Linked DNA regions of Arabidopsis thaliana. The protein of the gene in region 1 interacts with the protein of each later gene in a biochemical or structural test. Each region holds a gene or a part of one and is shown on either strand. Other genes may lie near its edges.

What was found. Proteins that work in one complex are often made in the same cells at the same time.
Region 2: the proteins of GH9A1 (region 1) and CESA1 form a complex in vitro, tested with the Arabidopsis thaliana proteins (one study listed by BioGRID).

The regions. Positions count from the first base shown.
Region 1 is NC_003076.8:20,198,357-20,202,109, reverse strand, and holds the start of GH9A1 (glycosyl hydrolase 9A1), read left to right. Parts: upstream 1-1,641; 5' UTR 1,642-1,941; coding exon 1,942-2,314; intron 2,315-2,392; coding exon 2,393-2,703; intron 2,704-2,776; coding exon 2,777-3,241; intron 3,242-3,357; coding exon 3,358-3,493; intron 3,494-3,594; coding exon 3,595-3,753. Other genes in the region: FRO6 (ferric reduction oxidase 6), read left to right, coding at 1-383, 586-755. UniProt on the Arabidopsis thaliana protein: Required for cellulose microfibril formation. Involved in cell wall assembly during cell elongation and cell plate maturation in cytokinesis. Required for secondary cell wall formation in the developing xylem.
Region 2 is NC_003075.7:15,645,150-15,648,902, reverse strand, and holds the start of CESA1 (cellulose synthase 1), read left to right. Parts: upstream 1-2,058; 5' UTR 2,059-2,514; coding exon 2,515-2,595; intron 2,596-3,122; coding exon 3,123-3,318; intron 3,319-3,416; coding exon 3,417-3,589; intron 3,590-3,753. Other genes in the region: AT4G32420 (Cyclophilin-like peptidyl-prolyl cis-trans isomerase family protein), read left to right, coding at 1-769, 856-924, 1,050-1,353. UniProt on the Arabidopsis thaliana protein: Catalytic subunit of cellulose synthase terminal complexes ('rosettes'), required for beta-1,4-glucan microfibril crystallization, a major mechanism of the cell wall formation. Involved in the primary cell wall formation.

The sequences.
Region 1 (3,753 bases):
TATGTCGGTACTAGTTGGTACAGGGGATAACATATGGTCTGGACTCTATCTAATTATATCCACCATTGGATTTATTTCAATGATCACATTGTTGGACATCTTTTACATAAAAAGATACAACATAACAACGTGGTGGTACAAGGGACTTCTATTTGTTGGTTGTATGGTTGCAAGTGTCTTGATTTTTGGAGGTCTTGTGGTTGTTTTCTGGCATCGCTGGGAACACAAAACCGGTGAAGTGGAAGCAAATGGCAACGACAAGGTAGATTTGAATGGAGAAGAAACCCATAATCCATCTGCAGCAGAGCTTAAGGGCTTGGCAATAGAAGAAGATGTCCAGAATTACACCACTATTCGTTATGGCACCAGACCGGCCTTTAGAGGTATACACTACAAAATTAGCGGTGTCAAGTCCAGTTATCTCGTTTTTTTATTTATAAAATTATAGAAACTGAAATCATTCGGAACGGTTTGACACGGTTTCGTTCGGTTCTTGAATCCGACTTTTGGTGTAGATATTTGGCTCGATTCGGTTAAGTTAAATCTTTGATTGGTTCATGTAATATTTTTATTTTGTAATTGCAGAGATATTTGAGTCATTGAATGGGAAATGGGGGAGTGTGGATGTTGGAGTGATAGTATGCGGTCCAGCGACTCTTCAGACGACCGTAGCCAAAGAAATACGGTCACATAGCATCTGGCGATCGGCGAATCATCCTCTTTTCCACTTCAACAGCCACAGTTTCGATCTCTAACGATGCTTTCAAGGCCAAAGAACATTATGGAAGGAAATTCGAAGACAAATTGATGCATATATTTTAGGTAATCTCTGTCAGTATGTACTATGGAAACAGCTATGGTTGATATGTGTATGTTTATCTTTCAGTTTTCGATGTATAAAGTAGAAATCAAATGTATGAGCATCTATGGTTTCTAGTTCTACACTTGTTGGTGTTTCTACATTGGACATTTAATATTAATTAAATGCAAGCTGATAAGTCCTATAATTACATAGCTGCCCATATATTTTCGGAATTTTTTAAAGTAGAGATATATTCATATATATATGAGGGATTAGATTCTATAATTACGAATGTATTTAATTTCAAATTAAAAGTTAGATTCTCATAATTCTCCTTACTTACTCTGTGAGGGATTAGAGTCGTAAAAATGACCACAAGATGTAATTTTTTTTTAGGTCATTGATCTACCATCAATTTGTCGGACACACTTATCTTATAAGTTTTAAATTTTAACAAATGTAAGTGAAATTTTGTGGTAGACTATCATTTTCAAGTAGAAGTAGAATTTAAGTAACCTTCCTTGTTATAATTTTTTTTTAAAAATTATGTCATTACTTAGAGCCCACCAGAAATGATGACGTGTAAAACACCATAATCATAAAGGATAAAATAAAATTATCATCCCACCGACAGTTTATTAGCGGAGATGTCTTTTTCCATCCACCCGACATTAGCCCATTGCTTTACTAGTAAACAAAGTATATGCAATTTTTTGTTAGAAAAAACGGTGCATAAAAAATAATATTTTAATGTCTCCGACAAATTTTAATTGTATGAAAAATAAATACACAAGATTACAAGTTGGCCAAAACGCTCAATCATAGTTGGCCAAAAATATACTATTCCAAAATTAGAGTTAGCTGTAACGTAACATGTACAAATAAACCAAACAAAACATATAATAACAAAATAATTGAAGTGAGTTTTAAAAAGGAAAAAAAAAAAAGAGTAAAAAACCAAAACCAGATCTCTCAAAGAGTCTTTGTACATTATTGACTAGAGAGAGCTTTTTAGCTTCACATTTCTTCACTTCCACACACTTTTACTTCTTTCTCTCTTCTCTTCTCTTCTCCAGATCTGATCCCAAACCTTTGATTCATTGTTGTTGTTCTCTGCTGCTTTATCAGAGAGCATCATCATGTACGGAAGAGATCCATGGGGAGGTCCATTGGAGATAAACACTGCAGATTCCGCCACCGACGATGATCGTAGTCGGAATTTAAACGATTTGGATCGTGCGGCTCTTTCACGTCCACTAGATGAGACGCAGCAGAGTTGGTTACTTGGTCCAACGGAGCAGAAGAAGAAGAAGTACGTCGATCTCGGTTGTATTATCGTTAGCCGCAAGATCTTCGTCTGGACTGTTGGTACTCTTGTTGCCGCCGCGTTACTCGCCGGATTCATTACCTTGATCGTTAAAACTGTGCCGCGTCATCATCCTAAGACTCCGCCGCCGGATAATTATACTATAGCTCTACACAAAGCTCTTAAGTTCTTCAATGCTCAGAAATGTAAGTGTAGAATCTACTTAGATCTGATAAAATTTAGATATAGAGTTTTAGATCTAAGTCTGATTTTGATTGTTGTAGCTGGGAAATTGCCAAAGCATAATAACGTGTCATGGAGAGGTAATTCTGGGCTTCAAGATGGGAAAGGTGAAACAGGAAGCTTCTATAAAGATTTGGTGGGAGGTTATTATGATGCTGGTGATGCTATCAAGTTCAATTTCCCCATGGCTTATGCTATGACTATGTTGAGCTGGAGTGTTATTGAATATAGTGCTAAATACGAAGCTGCTGGTGAGCTCACTCATGTTAAGGAGCTTATCAAATGGGGAACTGATTACTTTCTCAAGACTTTCAATAGTACTGCTGATTCCATTGATGATCTTGTGTCACAGGTACTTGTTTATGACCTTCGTAGGAGATCTTTCATATTGAGTTGTTTGTTCACTCGTTACATGTTTAATGTAGGTTGGATCAGGGAATACTGATGATGGAAATACAGATCCTAATGACCATTACTGTTGGATGCGACCTGAGGATATGGACTATAAAAGGCCCGTGACTACTTGTAATGGTGGATGTTCGGATCTCGCTGCAGAGATGGCAGCTGCTCTGGCTTCAGCATCTATTGTATTCAAGGATAACAAGGAATATTCTAAAAAGCTTGTCCATGGTGCTAAGGTGGTGTATCAGTTTGGAAGGACGAGGAGAGGGAGATATAGTGCAGGCACTGCGGAATCTAGCAAGTTCTATAATTCAAGTATGTATTGGGATGAGTTCATTTGGGGTGGTGCTTGGATGTATTATGCTACCGGAAATGTAACGTATCTCAATCTAATCACCCAACCTACTATGGCCAAGCATGCTGGTGCCTTCTGGGGTGGCCCTTACTATGGTGTATTTAGCTGGGACAACAAGCTTGCTGGTGCTCAGGTCAGTCCACACATAACAACCTGCTGTGTTTATGTTTCTTAGATATTCATGTCTTCTTGATCATTTGCCTTAACCATACTACTCTTGACTCTTTTGAATCCCTTTTGCGATTTTAGTTGCTGTTGAGCCGGTTGAGGTTGTTTCTGAGTCCTGGATATCCATATGAAGAAATTCTAAGGACCTTCCACAATCAGACCAGCATAGTCATGTGCTCATACTTGCCTATTTTCAACAAATTTAACAGAACCAATGGTTAGTTACCTTCCAGCTTTAATGTCTGCCTCTAATAAAACTCCAACTGTGGGGCTTGTTCTTGTTTCAGATATCTAAAATGAAATCTTTGGTATGTGCAGGAGGTTTAATAGAGTTGAATCATGGAGCTCCACAGCCGCTGCAATATTCTGTAAATGCAGCTTTCTTAGCGACTCTATACAGTGATTATCTGGATGCTGCTGATACTCCTGGATGGTACTGTGGACCTAATTTCTATTCGACAAGTGTGCTACGTGACT
Region 2 (3,753 bases), on another chromosome or scaffold:
TGAAAAAGGAAAGAGATATTAGTAGAAGTCCTTCAAAGAGTTTAAGCAGAAGTCCACTGAGGAGCCCCAAAAGGGTCATCAGCAGAAGTCCAGTGAGAGGTAGGATTGCCAGAAGCCCTAGCCGGAGTCCTGTAAGATCTGCATCTCGTGGAAGCCTTGGGAGGGGCCCACTAAGAAGATCGTCAAGAAGATCACCTAGCAGAAGTCCAGTTCGATCTTCTAGAAGAAGCCTGAGCCGGAGTCCTATTCAATTATCTAGAAGAAGTCTGAGCCGGAGTCCCACTCGATTGTCTAGGAGAAGCCTAAGCCGGAGTCCCATTCGATCACCTAGGAAGAGTGTGAGCAGGAGTCCAGTCCGATCATCTAGGAAGAGTGTGAGCAGAAGTCCGGTTCGTTCATCCAGGAGACGTATCAGCAGGAGTCCAGTCCGATCATCTAGGAAGAGTGTGAGCAGGAGTCCTATTCGATTGTCCAGAAGAAGTATCAGCAGGAGTCCTATTCGATTGTCCAGGAGAAGTATCAGCAGGAGTCCTGTTAGAGGAAGAAGAAGAATTAGCAGAAGTCCAGTTCCGGCAAGGAGAAGGAGTGTGCGGCCTAGATCTCCTCCTCCTGACCGCAGAAGAAGTTTGTCAAGAAGTGCTTCTCCTAATGGGCGCATAAGGAGAGGGAGAGGATTTAGCCAAAGATTCTCATACGCCCGTCGATACAGAACTAGTCCATCTCCTGATCGATCTCCTTATCGCTTTAGTGATAGGAGTGACCGTGACAGGTGAATAGCCCACACATAATATAACTCCCCCTTTCTGTTACACACTCTCGTACTGAACCGTCTTTTTTATAACGTCTTCTCTGTAGATTTAGAAGTCGCAGAAGGTTCTCGCCAAGTCGGTTCAGAAGCCCACTAAGAGGAAGAACACCTCCAAGGTACTTATCCTCTTTAGTACATTGTTTCAGCTGATTCTTTACATCTAAAAGTTTCATGAATATGGAACTAAAATTGGTGATCCAAAAGAATTATTCTTGATTTCACAACTCGAAAGTATGCTCAGGTATAGAAGAAGAAGCCGCTCAGTATCGCCTGGTCTCTGTTATCGCAACCGGCGGTACAGCCGCAGCCCTATCCGTAGCCGATCTCCACCTTACAGAAAGAGAAGGTCACCATCCGCTAGCCACAGCCTGAGTCCATCGAGGTCAAGATCAAGATCAAAGTCATATTCAAAATCTCCCATTGGGACGGGGAAAGCAAGATCAGTGTCAAGATCACCATCCAAGGCAAGGTCTCCATCGAAGTCGGATTCGACATCCTCGGATAATAGCCCAGGTGGGAAAAAGGGATTAGTAGCCTATGATTAATGAATAATGATTACCCTTAAGTTAAGTGTTTGTTCTTTTTACTGAGAAGAGATGGTAAAGAGAGTAAGTAGTTTACTTCTGTAAAACATAAGCATTGTCTTTTGCGTATGTTTGTTTGATTATGCTCCAAGATTGTTAAAAATTTCTGTTGATGTTTGCCGACATTTTTTCTTTGTTGCCATTTGCCGACAAATGTTAACTTCCATTATTCGTTGCGGAGTTGGTTTTGGTCCAATAATTAAACTTTCATAAAATTAAGCATAACTAAATGTGACGTTTGTCACCAAACTTTAGAACAACGACATCGTAATTTATTTATTTGGATAATCAATATAATTTACGATTTCTTCCTACATATATATCATATCACTATACCACCGTCATTATCACTATCACTAAATATAAAAATGTTAAAATGATTTCTTAATGGAATTTTTTTTGTTAAAAGTTTATTGACACAAAAAATGAATTAAAACTCAGAAATCTGTATACTGAATTAAAACTTGTAAATATAACAACAAAATGGGATTAAAAAAAGAAGTGGCATCCATTTAAAAATTATTTGCGAATTCGCCCGTAACTTCTTAAGCTAACAATTAGAACCTAATCAACACTAGTTATTTTGAGTCCACCGACAGGTGATAGCAAATAAAAAAGAACAGGCTGGTACCAGAGCCAACAACAACGTGGCTTCTTCTTTTTTTTTTTTAATATAATCAAACAATCATACTTTGTCCTATCTCTTTCTTGCAATAAGATTTTGCCACGTCACATACTAAGAAGCTGGCGCGTCTAGTGGGGAAGCCAGAACGGCTCACTTTAAAAAGTAGAGAGATGATAACTTGAGCCGAATAGAGCCGAGCTGAGCTAAAACGGTGGGAGAGGAAGAGGCTACTACTACCGTCACCATCTCCGGTAAAATAATGTACTTGTCATTTAAAAATTAAGAAAAAACACATCACTCTGCGATAAAATAGGCAAAAGCAGATTTGAAGAAGAAGCAGCTTGAGATATCAAATAGAGAGAGAGAGTGACAGAGGAGTGTGTGAACATCCTTTTTTAGTAGATTTGGGTTTTCGAGATGCCGTATTGAATCGGCTACGAATTTCCCAATTTTGAATTTTGTGAATCTCTCTCTTTCTCTGTGTGTCGGTGGCTGCGATGGAGGCCAGTGCCGGCTTGGTTGCTGGATCCTACCGGAGAAACGAGCTCGTTCGGATCCGACATGAATCTGATGGCGGGGTCTGTTCATCTTCCCTTTTTCCCATTTTTTTGTTATTGTTTTTCGTTCTTACAATTTTTGATGTGTAGATCTCATCTAGATTTCTCTGTTTCTAAATCTCGTCTCTTTTGGATCCATAATTGGATCATTGAAACTCAGATTTCGCTTCCTTTGACTGTGTAGTTAGTTAGTGTCAGTTGATCAAGTAAGTGTCTGAAAATGGAAACTTTTCTGCTCCAATTCTTCAAATTGTTGTGATCTATATCAATTAATGCCGCATCTGTTTTCTTAAAATCTCTTATGGAAAGTGTCGGTGGATTTCAGTTCGTTAACTTTTTTAAGCTAAAATCTTTGACTCTTAAAGTTTAGCTTTACTTATTGAGATTTAGCTCAACTAGATCTCGTTAGTTCCCGCCATGGGATACAGACTGTGACTCGCCTTAATTCAGATCTGCATTGATTGTTTTGATTTAGATCCTTGCTCATCTCTTTCTGTAGTTTCTAATACTCAATGACTAACAATGATGCAATGTTGGTCAAAGTGCAGACCAAACCTTTGAAGAATATGAATGGCCAGATATGTCAGATCTGTGGTGATGATGTTGGACTCGCTGAAACTGGAGATGTCTTTGTCGCGTGTAATGAATGTGCCTTCCCTGTGTGTCGGCCTTGCTATGAGTACGAGAGGAAAGATGGAACTCAGTGTTGCCCTCAATGCAAGACTAGATTCAGACGACACAGGGGTCAGTTGTCTTTTTCTTTTTGTTGGCAATTGCTATATATGGATTTTCTCTTTTTGTTTCTTTGCTGTTGTGTTGAACAATTTTTTGGAATTTTCCAGGGAGTCCTCGTGTTGAAGGAGATGAAGATGAGGATGATGTTGATGATATCGAGAATGAGTTCAATTACGCCCAGGGAGCTAACAAGGCGAGACACCAACGCCATGGCGAAGAGTTTTCTTCTTCCTCTAGACATGAATCTCAACCAATTCCTCTTCTCACCCATGGCCATACGGTAGGGACCTACATTTTCCCTTTAGACTCTAGAGTGATTTGTATTACTCAATAAATCCCTAGAGTGGTCATTTATTACTTACTATTCACGTTAATGTTATATGTGAACAAATCTTAACAGAATTTTTTTCTGATAGTACATGGTCATCCAAATTAAGAAATAAT